Linked DNA regions of Cricetulus griseus. The protein of the gene in region 3 interacts with the protein of the main gene of each other region in a pairwise test. Links are inferred from orthologs where the notes say so. Each region holds a gene or a part of one and is shown on either strand. Other genes may lie near its edges.

Region 1 (3,517 bases), on a different chromosome or scaffold from region 3:
CACATTCATATGGTTTCTCCCCAGTGTGGATTCGCTGATGATTAATGAGCCCAGAATTCTGGCTAAAGGCTTTCCCACACTCAAGACACTTGTAAGGTTTTTCTCCAGTGTGGACTCGCTGGTGCTGCACGAGGATGGAACTTCTGCTGAAGGCTTTTCCACACTCAACGCATCCATAAGGCTTCTCCCCACTGTGGATTCTCTGATGAAGAATAAGGGCTGAGCCCTGGCTGAAGTGCTTTCCACATTCGTCACATATGTGCTGTTTCTTTCGAGAAGGATTTCTCTTTCTTTCAAATCTGCCCTTGGGTAAACAGGTTTCTCCATATTTAAAAATTTGAGGAACACCTATATTAAGAGTACCAGGAACTTCATGAGATTCTACAGCTGAAGCAATCTCCTGCTTGGGAGCCAGTGCTCCATTCTCTGTCCTAGCATCATCATCTGAAATACAGAGAAAATGTAAATATCACTCAGTTCCTATTTGTAGAGGAAAGAACTTGCCTAAAACTTGCTATGTAGACTAGGTTGGCCTTGAATTCACAGAGATCTGCCTACCTCTGCCTCCCAAATGCTGGGATTAAAAGTGTGCACCACCACACCTGACAAAAAAAGGTTTTCATGAACTAAATACAAAATAAAACAAACAAAACCAAAACTGTATATATCTATGAATATATAAATTTGACACTTCTCAAAAAGAAAAAAAGGGGGCGGGGAGATATGAGATCAATGAGCTAATGACATGACAGCAAAATGACACAGAAGGTTTTTACTTAATTTTTTTCTTGGTTTTCAAGACAGGGTTTCTCTGTGTATCCCTGGCTGTCCTGAAACTGATTCTGTAGACCAAGATGACCTCAAACTCAGAGATCCACATACCTCTGTCTCCCAAATCTCCCGAATGCTGGGATTAAAGGTGTGTGCCACCACCCAGCCATGAAGAGCACATGATCCTTCAGAGGACCCAAACTTAGTTCCCAGCACCCCCACTGGGAGGCTCACAAACATCACAACTCCAGGTCTGGAGGGGGGGGGGTCCGACTTCCTTTTCTGACCTCTTTGGGCAATTGAACAAGTAGCATACATATACACCACATATACATACATACATGCAATAAAAAAAAATTTTAAAAATCCAATATACTATTTTTATTAAAATTGACTATTTCTTAAAATAGTCAAAAGGGTGACAAATAGATTATAAAATAAAGGGGAAAAAACCAAACTGATACAGGCTAGGTCTGAAACTTTGGGAAGAAAAATAATGGCCATTAAGAAACGGTTTTTAAGAAATATCAAAATGAATGTATAAAAAAAATCTGTCAAACAATAGTTATTGCTGAAATAAGTCATCGTGTCACAGCCAATACTAGAATCAAAACAGAAACCATGAGTCCTGATTAAGAAACAAGCCAAGGACTGGGTGTGGTGGCAGACTCCATTAACTCCAGCACTTAAAGGAGCCAGAGGAAGGCAAATGTCTGGGACTTCAAGGCCAGTTTCAGACTAGTCAGGCCCACAGAATGAGACCAAGTCTCAAAACAACAGAATAAACAAACAAAAGTCATGACACTTAAAAGTTCAATATACAATAAATTAAAAGATCCGTGTTAAAGAAACATCTTCTGACTTCCAAGGACACCCAGCATGTACATGCTACACAGTCACACATGAAGGCAAAATACCCATACACATAAACTAAAAAAATTAAAAGGGGGGGGAGGTTTCTTAATTAAAAAAAAAAAGACTAGGTAAAATATTGAAGTAAAAAAACAGAAATAGCTGGAATTTTAGGAAGACTTTAGTAACAAAACAAATAAAAAGGGGGAGACTTCAAATAAGTTTACCATATTAATATGGTTAGGCACGGAACTAAAATCAAAACAGCATAAAACAGATAACAGATAAGCAGTACCATGTACAAAACAGACATGGTCTTACAGGCACTGGCTCAAAATAAGGCAAATGTGAGCCACAATATGGGTAGTCTTCATGAAAGAAGGCTGAAAGAAAACCTAAAGATGTTAATGTCTAGGAGTAAAACCACCTGAGGCCAGTGAGTCTATCATCAGTAAAGTCAAGCTCTTCACAGTACAGCTATTTCTAAAGAGCAGCTTAAAAGTGTTTTGCCAATAGAACAAGCAAAGCACTTTGGACAAAAGCCACATGGTGTTCTGGTCCTCACCACAGTGCCTCAGAGAGTGGAGTTCCCAGGATGCCCACTTGAGCTGATTCTCTACAGCATCAAGCTCAGAACTTGGTAATCCCTGAGCATCTTCTTGAGATATCTCCTCTACAAGCACTTCCCGTTTTCGGCGACGGAGAGAAACCTGAAAACAAGATTTTAGTTTGGTTGAGAAGGAATTTTGATACTAAGCACACATAAAAGAAGCCACAAAAAATATACTACAAAGTCCTAGATAGCAAAGCAGTGTTGTGGAATATTTGTTTAATGTGTTGCATCGTGTTGCAGAATATTTGTTTAACTATGTAAAGATGTGTTGCTGTTTTACCTTGCCTGACTATGTATGGCACCTGATTAGTCTAATAAAGAGCTGAATGGCCAAGAGCGAGGAAGGAGGTCCAGGTGGAACTTCTGGGCAGGGAGAGTAAGTAGGAGGAGGGATTTAGGCTCACAGAAGAAAGAAAAGAAGGCAACAGGGAAACACCAGGGGCCAGCCAGCCAGCCATGGAGGAAGCAGGCAAGTAGGACATATAGAATGAAAGAAAGGTAAAAAGCTCCGAGGCAAAATGTAGATGAATAGAAACATGTTAAGTTAAAAGAGCTAGTGGGACGAGCCTAAGCCAAGGCCGAGCATTCATAATAAGTCTCTGTGTCTTCATTTGGGAGTTGGTTGGTGGCCCAAAGACAATTCCAACTGCAGAGCAGCACAGATATTGCAGATTGACAAGGAAGGAGGCATAGACATAATTTTAACTTAGTCAAGTGAAGTTAATCCAGCAGTTTGCCCAACTGCTATGTTAGTGTTTCTGATTTGGGCAAAATGAGGCAAGCATGCTCACCGGCTGTCCAGGATCATCCAGTTCACTCTCCAAGTCCTCTAGAACGGTCACTGCCTCCTCTCCATTCTCTGGGTGATGTTCTCGAACCCAAGTCTGTAGCTCCTTGGGTAAGATGGCAACAAACTGCTCCAACACTACCAGCTCCAGTATCTGTTCCTTCGTGTGTGTCTCTGGTCTGAGCCACAAGCGGCAAAGTTCACGGAGCTGGCTCACAGCCTCTCGGGGACCTGGTGAATCCTGGTATCCAAACTGCCTGAACCGCTGTCGGAAAACTTCTGGGTCAGGGAGATGATTCCAGGAAATGCTTGACCCCTCTTCACCATCAGGATCCTCCTCTAGTTTCACTCTCAGAATTTTTTCTTCTTCATCTGGATTTGGGATGATAAGTACTGAATCTTCTTCCACCGATTGTGCAGACATCCTGTCACAATACTTCAAGAAAGGCAGTCAAGGCAGGATATAGACCTCACCCAGAGAAATACTTTGTTTT
Region 2 (3,517 bases), on a different chromosome or scaffold from region 3:
GAACCAAACCTCTACCCACAGAACCCACTGCTGCACCTGGAATGACCATACCTGCATATCGGCAACTGGGTGGGACCATGGTGGCCACAGAGAGGAGCTGGGGCTCTAATGTAACAGGAAGAGGGGCATAGGTCTGAGGGATGCTGGTGCCCAGCTGGTTTGGAAAGAACTCAGATGGGACCTGTATACTGGGTATCACAGCTGGGCATGGGCCCTGGCCTACACCTGTAGTCACAACAGCCTGTTCTTGAGTCCAGGGGACATCTGCTGGTAAGGTCCAGGCAGCCATGGGGGTTGGGTTAGGCCCCTGACACATGCTTAGGAACAGTCCAGTAGCCACAGGCCCCTGGGGTGTCCCTGGAACTACGCCCCTGAACCAATTCTGACATGGGACACTGGCCCCTAAGACCAGGCCGCCATCCTCTGCAGGTGCCATGGACTGAGCCACAGGACCTGGGGGCCCCCTGCTGACCTGTTTTGGCTCAGAGTGGACAGTGGGATCCCGAGGGCTGGACTGGGTCCCGGTACCTATCATGAATTTGTCCCCTGGGCTGCCGCAGACTCCTAGAGATGGCTGGCCTGTCCTGCTCATCACATCTGGGCAGGACCCACCTAGGGTGAGCATGGAGGGCTGGCTCTGCCGATAGTGTGAAGATGTACTGCTGTCCTCAGCAAGCTGCTGAGGGCCCAAAGCTGGCTTGCTGATGCCTCGCCCCACACCACACACCACAGTGGGTGGCAACAAGCTCAGAGCTCCCAAGGTGGCCACAGATGGCTGGGCAAGATTAGAGCATACCCTGGGAGCCAGAAGTGGGGAGGTCAGACTGGGGGGCACCCTGTTGGACAGGGACAGGGGCGCCTGGAGCACTCCAGGGACCACAGTGCTGGTTGTGGTTGGCTGGCTGAGGTTTGGGGATGTCCCGTTAGCCATAGATGCATGGGCCAGGGTTGGGGACATAACACCTACCACAAAAGGCTGGGCTAGGCTTGGAGACACGCTGGGGGGCACAGACGGCTGCACAAAGTTTGGGGTTACAAGTGTAGCCATGCAAGGTTGGGTGAAATTTGATGCCATGCTGTAGGGTACAAATGGTTGGAAAAAGTTAGGGGACGCCCCGGTGGCTACAGATGTCTGAACTGAGTCTGGGTGCCCTGAACCCTGTGTGGGCATGGAAGAGCAGCCAGGTGGCGGCCAGCTGTTCACAGGGGCTACATGGGTAGTGGCACATGGCTGGACCTGGCTAGAAGTTAACCCCGTGTTCACTGCCTGGTTGCTTAAGGCCAACACACTAGCACCAGGATTCTGGGTAAAGTTTGAGGGATCCCCAGAAGCAATATGTGGCTGGGTATAGACTGGGGACCCTCCATAGTACAGATATGGCTGACTAAAATCTGTAGGTAACCTATAATACATCAATGTTTCTGTCAGTGTTGGGGACATCCTGGTGTCCATGGATGGCTGGGCTAAAGTTGGGAGCACCCTAGTGGCCACAGATGGATGGGGCAGGCTTGGGGCCACCCCACTGTCCATGGATGGCTGGGCCAGGCTTGGCGACTCAGAACTGGTCCCTGCCGGCTGAGATGAGCTTGGACACAGTCCCTTGTCCTCTAATGGTTGGTGTGGGCATGGTGGTTCCTCACTGGTTTCAGGTGCCTGGCCAGGGCTTGGGGCTCCCTCATCAGCCAATACGTCCTGAGGTAGGGCAGAATCCAGCTGAGTGACCCCATTTGGCTGCAGGTCTCCAGCGTGGGCCTGACTCCTCCCATGCCAGGGTGCAGCCGTGTCCTCGGACAGTCCCTGCATGGGGTTCCCAGCGCTGTAGTCAGACCCACTATCTGCACTATCTGAGTCCCAGTGGACATTCACAGACAGGCTGGTGCTATGAAAGAAGACGGAGTCAAGCTCCAGGGGCGGCTGTTGGACCTGGGGGTCTGTGCTCTGAGAACCAGCCGACCATTGTGTTCCCAGCTGCCCCTGCGGCCTGTGCCTTGTCTTCCTGGACTCTTTCAACACTGGCTGGGAGTCCTCCTGCAAGTCCTTGCAACCTCCCAGAGCCTCTGAAGGCGTCAGGCTGGATCGTGTGGAGAGACAGGCTGAGGTGCCACTCTGCAGGGAACTGTGAGAACCAGCGCTGCTCTGGCAGTGGGTATCTGAACCCCTGGGATAGCGCTTGGCTAACACGATCTGTGGGTGCTGTGGGAATGTGGCTAGTAACTCATCCAGAAGGGACATGTGGCGGCCAGTGGCCTGACCCCAGGGACAGGATGGGGACAAGGACACTTGGGGACGTCTCTCCTGTTTTGGGGTGGACATGAGGGAACCTTTTTGCAACTTGGGAGTTAGGTACATTGGTGATGACTTGTCGTCACGCTGTTCATCTATAATGTCCCTCACTACGGTGACCATTTCCTTATCACCCAGCGGTGATACCAGTCTGTGACCCGATGGTAGGATCTGCCTAATTGTCTGCTTGGGCGATGGGCTGAGACTCTTGATTATGGAAGAGCAATGGCAACAGGGAGACATCTTGTGTACCCCCAGCTTCCCACACTGACACACATGGCCCTGGCAGGGGTTGGAGGACTGCCGGGACATGGGGTACCTCCCCCCACCCATGCCACTTGAATGCTTTCTGGCTGCCATGTTGCCCTCTCGGTATGACGCCCAGGGGTAGGACACCCTGCTGGCCACTGGTGGCTGGTGGGAGCTTGGGGCTGTGCTACTAGTCACTGGTGGCTGGTTACTGCTTGGGCCTGCACCATTGGTGACAAGTGGCTGCCACGGACAAGGACATGGCTGTTGGGAAGGTCTCTTGGGGACATGGGGACCCTCACCACATGCCATGGGGTCAAGATCCAATGGTCTCAGATACAGACCAGAACAGAGTCCTGTACCCCTCTCCCAGGACAGTGTGGGTACTGTGATTAGGGGACACTTGTAAGTGCTGGTGACCATCCCTCCAGAAAAGGAGCCTATGGGGGACTGTGGCAAGCAGGGTGACCCCTCCAAGGTGTCCCCATCCCCTTTCCCCCACAGGATCCCATCGGGCAAGCCCTTCCATGGTGGCCTGACCTTGCTACACCGTGCTCTTACGGGGCCCAGTGCAGGTCCCCATGCCAGCGACAGGCTCCCGCTGCAAGTCACCTCCATTGGGGTAGGCGCCGTGGTCATCCGGCTTCCCACCGTTTTCGAGGTGGCTTTGGGGAGGAAGGCGCCTGTCCTCTGGGCCATCTGGGCCAAGGACTGAGTGAAAACAGCACCCAGCTCTCCCTGGCACAGCGCCTGGCTGAGCGTGGCCCTCTCATCTTCTGTCAAGGCCTTGCACAGGACCTCAGCCAGCTTGCCCTGTGTGGCCTTGCTGAGTTCTGGACGCAGCTCACCACGGGACAGGGCTCGGGACAGGTAGATGCCCAGCTCACCCCATGACAGTGCCTTCATCAATGCCATTCCCAGCATGCCTTGAGGCAGGGCCTTGACCACAGAGGGGCCCAAGACTTCCCGGGACAGAGCCTGGCT
Region 3 (4,101 bases):
TAAATAGAAGAGAGAGAGCCCTTCATGGTCCATAACCGCTCTTTCTACTCCACACATTACACTCCCCCGCCCCATCCTAGCCTTGGAGATGGAAGCAGAGTTCAGCATAACACAAATATGAACCCAAAATACTGAGACAAGTCTAGGGCCTCAACACAATCAGCAGAGGCCTCTGTATATTAAAGGTTCTTTAAAAAAATATTGACTCACTGCTGCAAGGTGCTAATCATGCTTGGCTAGCCAGACCTAAAACTATGCCACTTTTTATTGGGCATTAAGTAACTGCCCCCATGTTAGCTAAAAATGGGTGAGGTTGTGTATTCAAATGAGTCTGACTCAGATTGTTAGGTTAGAGTGCAATCAATATGATTTATGACTCGACTTAAAATCATCACCATTACTTTCTATGTCTAATTGTGTATGTTTCCATTCAGCTACACATACATTTGGTGAAACAAATTGACTTAAGATCTAAATTACAATAATGATTTGGATCCCAGGGGGACTAATAATGGCAAATTAAGGTTTCTGTAAATTAGTGTTCCCATTTATACCCAGTCAACCCAGTAACCCAATAAAGGATAAATGAAGTGCTTTCATTGAAAAATATAATGCTGAGGTTTATAGAATCCTTTTATCTTCAAAGGACCAAGCCAATACTCACAATACCCAGTGCATAATATTATGCCTTTTATGCAAGGGCAGCAACTGTCAAAGAAAGGTCATACAAATGTCTAAAGGCCATAAAGCCAATGCAACATCACATTTGCAATGGACTCTCTGATCTTGGCTCCAAGACTTGTGTTTCAACCACATGAATCAAGTTTTGTAAGGAACAATCAAGAGAAATTTAATTCACATTATGAGTCTGTATTAAGTTAATTGAGCAGGAATATATAAAAATAACAAAAACTGACTCTCCCTCAGGGCAGTGATGAGTGGGGAGGTAAAAAGGTGTGTGTGTGTGGTGAGGTGCTAAGCCAGGGTATAGCAGAGGCTCCATAAGCAGAAGTGAGAAATATAAACTCTCTATTTGGCAACCCCTTCTCCTGTTGGAATTCTGTCAGAGTTGATTCGATTTCGGAGAGGAAGTAGAATCGAATTAAAGTCAGCCCTTATGGTCCAATTTGAAAATCGGATTAATTAATCCCCACACAACAGTTGTCTATTATTACAATTTCCAGGGTTTTCCTTCATAAATACTCCCCCTCGGAGACACACAACTGCCATTCACCGGCCCCACCCTACAAAATCTTCCAAAAAAGAAAAAAAGCAAAGTGATTGAAAAGCAAGAAGGTGCGTTGCTGGATGATGTGCACAGGTTGGTAGAGAAAAGCCGAGAGTGCGGGGACTCTGGGGAGAGACGTGGGTGGACAAATGTTGTGAGGCAGGAATAAGAGGCATACTAGTGTCAGTGCATAAGGAGTGCCAAGAGAGTGGAAAGTGAGGAGTCCCATCATCTCAGGATCCTAATTGCCTGCTCGAAATAGAAATGCCTCCAAACTAAATAAATAAATAATGTGCTGCACGTGAAGTGCGAAATAACCTAAGCCAGCTCATGGCCAGTAGTGTTACAGTAAATCTGCCTGCCGTTACTTAATTCTTACGAGCCCGAAATGGGAAAAGCCTCAAATGTTCCTGCTTCAGTAGCAGTGTGTCCTGTGGACACCCTCAAGTTTTCCTTCTCCCCCCCCCCCCCACGGCGCTGCTTTCACAGCTAGGCCAGAAATAAGGAACCACCCAGACAGAGACTTGAGGATCCCTTGCTTCCTCCAGCGAAAAGGGGGGATTAAGTTTCTCCCGGGTTCCCGCCGGCTGGGTGTCCGCAGCATCACAGGCTGCTGCGCCAGCACCGCTGAGCAAACCGCCGACCACGGGGCGCCGCCCGGGCCGAGGACGCCGTGGATTGCGGGAGCGTGGGAAGGCGGCTGCGCCCTTTCCCAGACTTGCGCCTGGGCGCCAGGAGAGCCGCTCCACTGCTTTCTCCCGGCTGGGCCTGGCCAAGCGGGAGGCCTCGGGCCGTTCCCCGCCTGGGATCCAGGAGTGCAAACTCCTTCGCACGAGGGCAGTGGCAGGAACCCGGGTCACCACAGTGTGACAGACACCGCGGGCCCCGCTACTGCCGCCTGGAGCCTCGCGGACCCTGTCTCCCCCCCTCCCCTTCCCGCCGAGCCCGGGTATCCTCGGCCAACGCTGGCACCTGAAGAGCAACCGGAGCCGGGGCCGAGCCCTGCGCGGGCGGCGACACTCGACCCCCCCACCCACCCAAGGGCCGCGACGAGGGGACGCATTTTTTTACCCATATTGTTCTCGGGTGCCAGCCATGTCCTACACGCGCCTGGGAGCGTCGGCCGCTCGCTGGCCTCCGCAGCAAGCTGGCTTGGGCTCCCGTGCGAGCTCCCGGGCCGCTGTCGCTGCCGCCGCCGCCACCACCACTCTAGGCCGCCGCCTGCCTTCGCCGCTGCGGCCGCCGCCGCCACCGCCGCGCAGCAGCCGGGATCCGCCAGCCCGCGCGCCCCACAGGGGACAGCACGGAGACCGCGACGTTCCCGCGTCTGGGTCTCCCGGGCGAAACTTGAGAGTTTTCGCCTCTCAGTCCAGAGGCAGCACCATGACACCACCGCAGCACCACACTGTCATTTCCGCCGCCGCAGAGGAAAAAAAAAAAAGCAATCCCTTCGAAAGGAGGGTGGAGTGGGGGCAAGCGGAGCCGAAGCTGACACCCCCAAGGGAGCACTGGGAGGGGCCCGCGCAGAAGGGGCGCTGGGCCACCTTCCTAGGCTCACCTTCCTCCGCCCCCGCCACTCCCAGCTCCCCGTGCCCCTCCTCTGGAGGCGCGCTTACATGTTTTCTCCCCCGGCAGGAGTGACCGGAGAAACCTGAGCAAGCAAAGGCAGCGGGTGGGTGGGGTTCAGATTACTACTGTACCTACCAGCTGATTCCAGCAGCCTTTTCTCCAGCGCCCTGTCATCTTGATGGAAGACACAGGGAAAAGGGGTCTGAGCAGGCGTGTGTGTGTGTGTGTGTGTGTGTGTGTGTGTGTGTGTGTGTGTGTGTGTGTGTGTGTGTGTGTGTGTGTAGTATGCGTGCGTCTGCGAGCGGGTAGTGTGTGTGAAGTGCAGAGGGAAGACTATGGCCAAACTCTTCTCCCACCCACCACCCACTACCTCCACAAACCCCCAGATTAGCAAGGAAAAGGCACCCGCCAATGAGAAGAGTCTGCCTGGAACCTCCGCACAGGTCCTCCTGATGAAGCTGTACTATTGTACTATGCAAAGTTAACTAGAGAGTAAAACTAGAGAGGCATGGAAGAGATAGAGAAGGACAGACAATTGAAGGAAACCCAACCCCTTTCTCTTTTTACAAAGGGAGAGTGGCTGTGTTCTATTGGCCTTGGCCACAAGTTGTTCGGGTGGATTAAAGCCACTGAAAGTGTATGGGGGAGTAAAGGTTTCTTTTGCACCTTCAGACACTTGACAAACAAGACAAGATGGTCATTAACAGAAGGTCAAAGAGGCAGAAGCTAGTCATCCAAGAATGCTAGGTCCCTATTAAGAAGATTGGTCCATTTGGAACCCAGGAGCCTCCCATTGGTCTGGAGTCAGCCTATTTACTATTGACTCAAAGACCACTGCCCCTCTTAAGGTGGATGAGAGAAGGAAGCTGCCCCAGAGGATACTGCTTTAAACTCCACTCAAAAAGAGAGAAGAGGAAAGCAATCACATGAGCCTCCTATTACTGTGCTTGGGAACAAATCCAGAAAAAAAATGAAGGTTGCTGGGTGTGTCTTGTCAGGGAACCAATAGCAGTCACCCAACAGCACTGTTAAACAGTGTGCTAGAGAACTATGGAGTGGAAATGAAGGGGAAAAACCCAACCATGCTACCTTAAGGGAAGTACAGGGCTGAGAGATCTTAAAGTTAATGCGTCATACCCAAAACACAGACAACAAAAGCAAATGACATATGAGACTACATAGCACCTAACACCTACACAATAGAATGCACAATCAACACAGTTGGGAATGGGCGAAAATATTTGAAAACCATACGTGATAAAGGCTTAATATCTAGAATATACAAAGAGGGTAAAGTCAGCTCC
Region 4 (2,673 bases), on a different chromosome or scaffold from region 3:
TGACAGCAGTGACGTGGTCATTGAAAACCGCCACCCTCCTTGTTCTAATGGGCTGTCTCAGGGACCCATGTGCTGGGACCTGCAACCTGGCTGCCTACTTCCTGGTGCTGGCAGCTCTCTGCCCTCCTTGGATAGCCAAGAGCAAGCCAACTCTGACTGGGGGAATGACATACGAGGTGATGTTAGTGGATTCAGCCTCTAACAGTCAAAGATGCAGCCCTTGACCCTTTAGGCTGCTGGAACGTGGCATAGACTTTCCAGTTGGGGAGGGAAGATAAGCTTGTTCACAGAGCCCTCTCAATAGAGAACATTAAAGATTTTCTACAAATGTAGATATGGTTGTTCTGTGTCCCAGCCCTAACCTCTTCCCTGACCCTGTGAGTCAGGCCTCTGTGGACATGAGGCAGGAGGGATAATACCAGCACTTGAGAGACCTTCCTCTAAGTATGCAGCAGGAAGCCACTGAACTTGGCATTTCTAAGAAAGATCCTATGGAAACAGCTGTTGTGTACAAAAGGTTTAATTTTGACATAGGAGTTGGAAGGCTGGGTGGTCCTTCTACAGCTACTGATGACTAGGAAGTGCTTTAGAGAGACTGCCCACCCCAATGTTCCTGTCTTTGGAACTGTGACAGGGCTTGAGTCTGCACTTTGTAGCCATGTAGCAATCCTCACTGTGGATCTCCCTATCATTCTACCCACAAAGACAGGGCTTAGGTATCCATCTTCACAAAGACTTTGGGTCGGGAAAAGATCTTGATAGCCTCTTCTATTTGCACCAACTTCTGGTCCAGTTCAGCACGGTGGCCCTGGGCTCTTAGAGAGTCTGCCCCAGCAGGTAGCAGAACTAATTCACGCAGCAGCTGACTCTGACCTACAAGGGAGCATGGAAAACAGTGAATGCTGGGTAGGGGTGCATGGTGCCCCTTGGGCTCCCTTTCAGCCACCCTTGCCCAAGTACTCACTCTGGAGCAGATTGTTCAGTGTCTCTAGCCGCTGATTCTCAGGCATGAGTGTGTGGCCAGGGGGCATGGCAGGATCTGGCTGGTTATGCTGGCGAGCTTCAGCTTCCCTCCGCCACAGATCCCTGCGCTCCAACAAGCTATAAATGCACAGGCCCAGGGTTGATGACACCAAGACAGACAGTTTCCCACCCCCCACAAAGGTCCATAACCATACTTGCAGGCCCATGTAACCTACTAACGGGGCACATGGCCTTTCTGTGTGGCATTGTAGTGCTCCTGGGCTTGTCGCTGTTGTTCCAGAACCTGTGCAAGGACCTGCAGTGAACGTGAATGGCGCCGGGGGGCTCTCTTGGCAGCTCGGGCATTGTGACTAATGAAATCCACATCCAGGCCTGGTCCCTGCAAGGGACATGGCAAGCATGGTGGGGACCCTGGAGCACTGTGTTGGTTCTCTGTACCCCACTCCCAAGAAAGGCCAGCTAATAGCCTTTCTAGTCCCCACAGAACCTCTCACCTTAGCTTTGGGACCTGGCAGGGTGAGCTGAGGACTGGAGACACGGGATGGTGGGAGCCCAGGGCCACAGCGGGAGTGTGCCCGCAGGAAGTGGGAAGGCTCTGTTACAGAGGCAGGGCCAGGCTCCTGGAAGGTGGGGCAGAGCAGAGGAATCAGGAAGTCTGAAGACAGGGTCCTTTCTGTCCCTCCTTAGCCTCTAAGTACCTTTCTGTGATCATCCCTATGGGCCTCCTCCTTGAAGGAAGATCTCTCAACAACATTCAAATATGCTTGTCTCTTAAAGCTTTAAGAACACTAACTACCAGCCGGGCAGTGGTGGCGCATACCTTTAATCCCAGCACTCGGGAGGCAGAGGCAGGCAGATCTCTGAGTTCGAGACCAGCCTGGTCTACAAGAGCTAGTTCCAGGACAACCTCCAAAGCCACAGAGAAACCCCATCTCGAAAAACCAACCAACCAACAAAAAGAAAACAAACTACTTTGCTATATACATTCATCCTCATTTGTCTACCATCCTTTCCTCCATTTTCACTCATTCATTCTATTTATTTACTTTTGGGTTTTCAGGACAGGGTTTCTCTGTATAGCCCTGGCTGTCCTGGAAGTTGCTCTGTCTTGAATTTAAAAAGATCTAACTGCCTCTGCTTCCCTGCTGGGATTAAAGGCACAAGGCCACCACCACCAAGCTTCTTTTCTCCTTTTAACCATGCTTTCTGGATCTAGCACCCCAAAGTTAATGAGGGTTGCCCCCAAGTCCTCAAAACCAAGGGCTGCTTCCTTAGACCCACTGTCCTCAATTTAATTGTCAATGACACTCTGGTCTTACTGATGAGATCTAGAGCTATGTATCCATCTGCTTCCTGGACACAGTCCTACCCCCTGGCAGTCCCACACATGCTTCAGTCTAAATACAATCTCATGTGACCTTGTCTTTTCTCTCAGTCCTCTGTGTCTTTCTGGGTTCCTGAATAGAGAAATGGTAACTAATCTTCCTCTCTGTCCTCAGAAACGTTTCAAGGAATGGTGGTACATGTTTATAGTCCCAGGACTCAGGAGGCTTCAGTAGAAGGGGCAAAAATTTGAGGCCAGTCTAGGTTATACAGAGAATTCAAGGACAGCCTGAGGCTAAGCAGCAAGCTACAGCCTCAGAAAGGAGTGAGCTGGAAGTGGTGGTCCAAACCTATAACCTCGACATT

What was found.
Region 1: the proteins of Mid2 (region 3) and Znf24 interact in binary tests that used the Homo sapiens proteins (3 or more experiments, as listed by UniProt). The two-hybrid records come from large-scale screens. The link is inferred for Cricetulus griseus from reciprocal best matches to the Homo sapiens genes MID2 and ZNF24.
Region 2: the proteins of Mid2 (region 3) and Iqcn interact in binary tests that used the Homo sapiens proteins (3 or more experiments, as listed by UniProt). The two-hybrid records come from large-scale screens. The link is inferred for Cricetulus griseus from reciprocal best matches to the Homo sapiens genes MID2 and IQCN.
Region 4: the proteins of Mid2 (region 3) and Enkd1 interact in binary tests that used the Homo sapiens proteins (3 or more experiments, as listed by UniProt). The link is inferred for Cricetulus griseus from reciprocal best matches to the Homo sapiens genes MID2 and ENKD1.

What each region holds. Positions count from the first base shown.
Region 1 is NC_048595.1:213,157,233-213,160,749, reverse strand, and holds part of Znf24 (zinc finger protein 24), read right to left. Parts: 5' UTR 3,448-3,517; coding exon 3,028-3,447; intron 2,334-3,027; coding exon 2,189-2,333; intron 445-2,188; coding exon 1-444. UniProt on the Homo sapiens protein: Transcription factor required for myelination of differentiated oligodendrocytes. Required for the conversion of oligodendrocytes from the premyelinating to the myelinating state.
Region 2 is NW_023276806.1:248,292,497-248,296,013, forward strand, and holds part of Iqcn (IQ domain-containing protein N), read right to left. Parts: coding exon 3,074-3,517; intron 1-3,073. UniProt on the Homo sapiens protein: Essential for spermiogenesis and fertilization. May be required for manchette assembly in elongating spermatids.
Region 3 is NC_048604.1:39,661,750-39,665,850, forward strand, and holds the start of Mid2 (probable E3 ubiquitin-protein ligase MID2), read right to left. Parts: upstream 2,801-4,101; 5' UTR 2,304-2,800; coding exon 2,300-2,303; intron 1-2,299. UniProt on the Homo sapiens protein: E3 ubiquitin ligase that plays a role in microtubule stabilization. Mediates the 'Lys-48'-linked polyubiquitination of LRRK2 to drive its localization to microtubules and its proteasomal degradation in neurons.
Region 4 is NC_048596.1:181,985,790-181,988,462, forward strand, and holds the end of Enkd1 (enkurin domain-containing protein 1), read right to left. Parts: intron 1,605-2,673; coding exon 1,479-1,604; intron 1,364-1,478; coding exon 1,200-1,363; intron 1,102-1,199; coding exon 965-1,101; intron 874-964; coding exon 713-873; 3' UTR 505-712; downstream 1-504. Other genes in the region: Pard6a (partitioning defective 6 homolog alpha), read left to right, coding at 1-202. UniProt on the Homo sapiens protein: Microtubule-binding protein which regulates microtubule organization and stability. Promotes the stability of astral microtubules and facilitates the proper orientation of the mitotic spindle.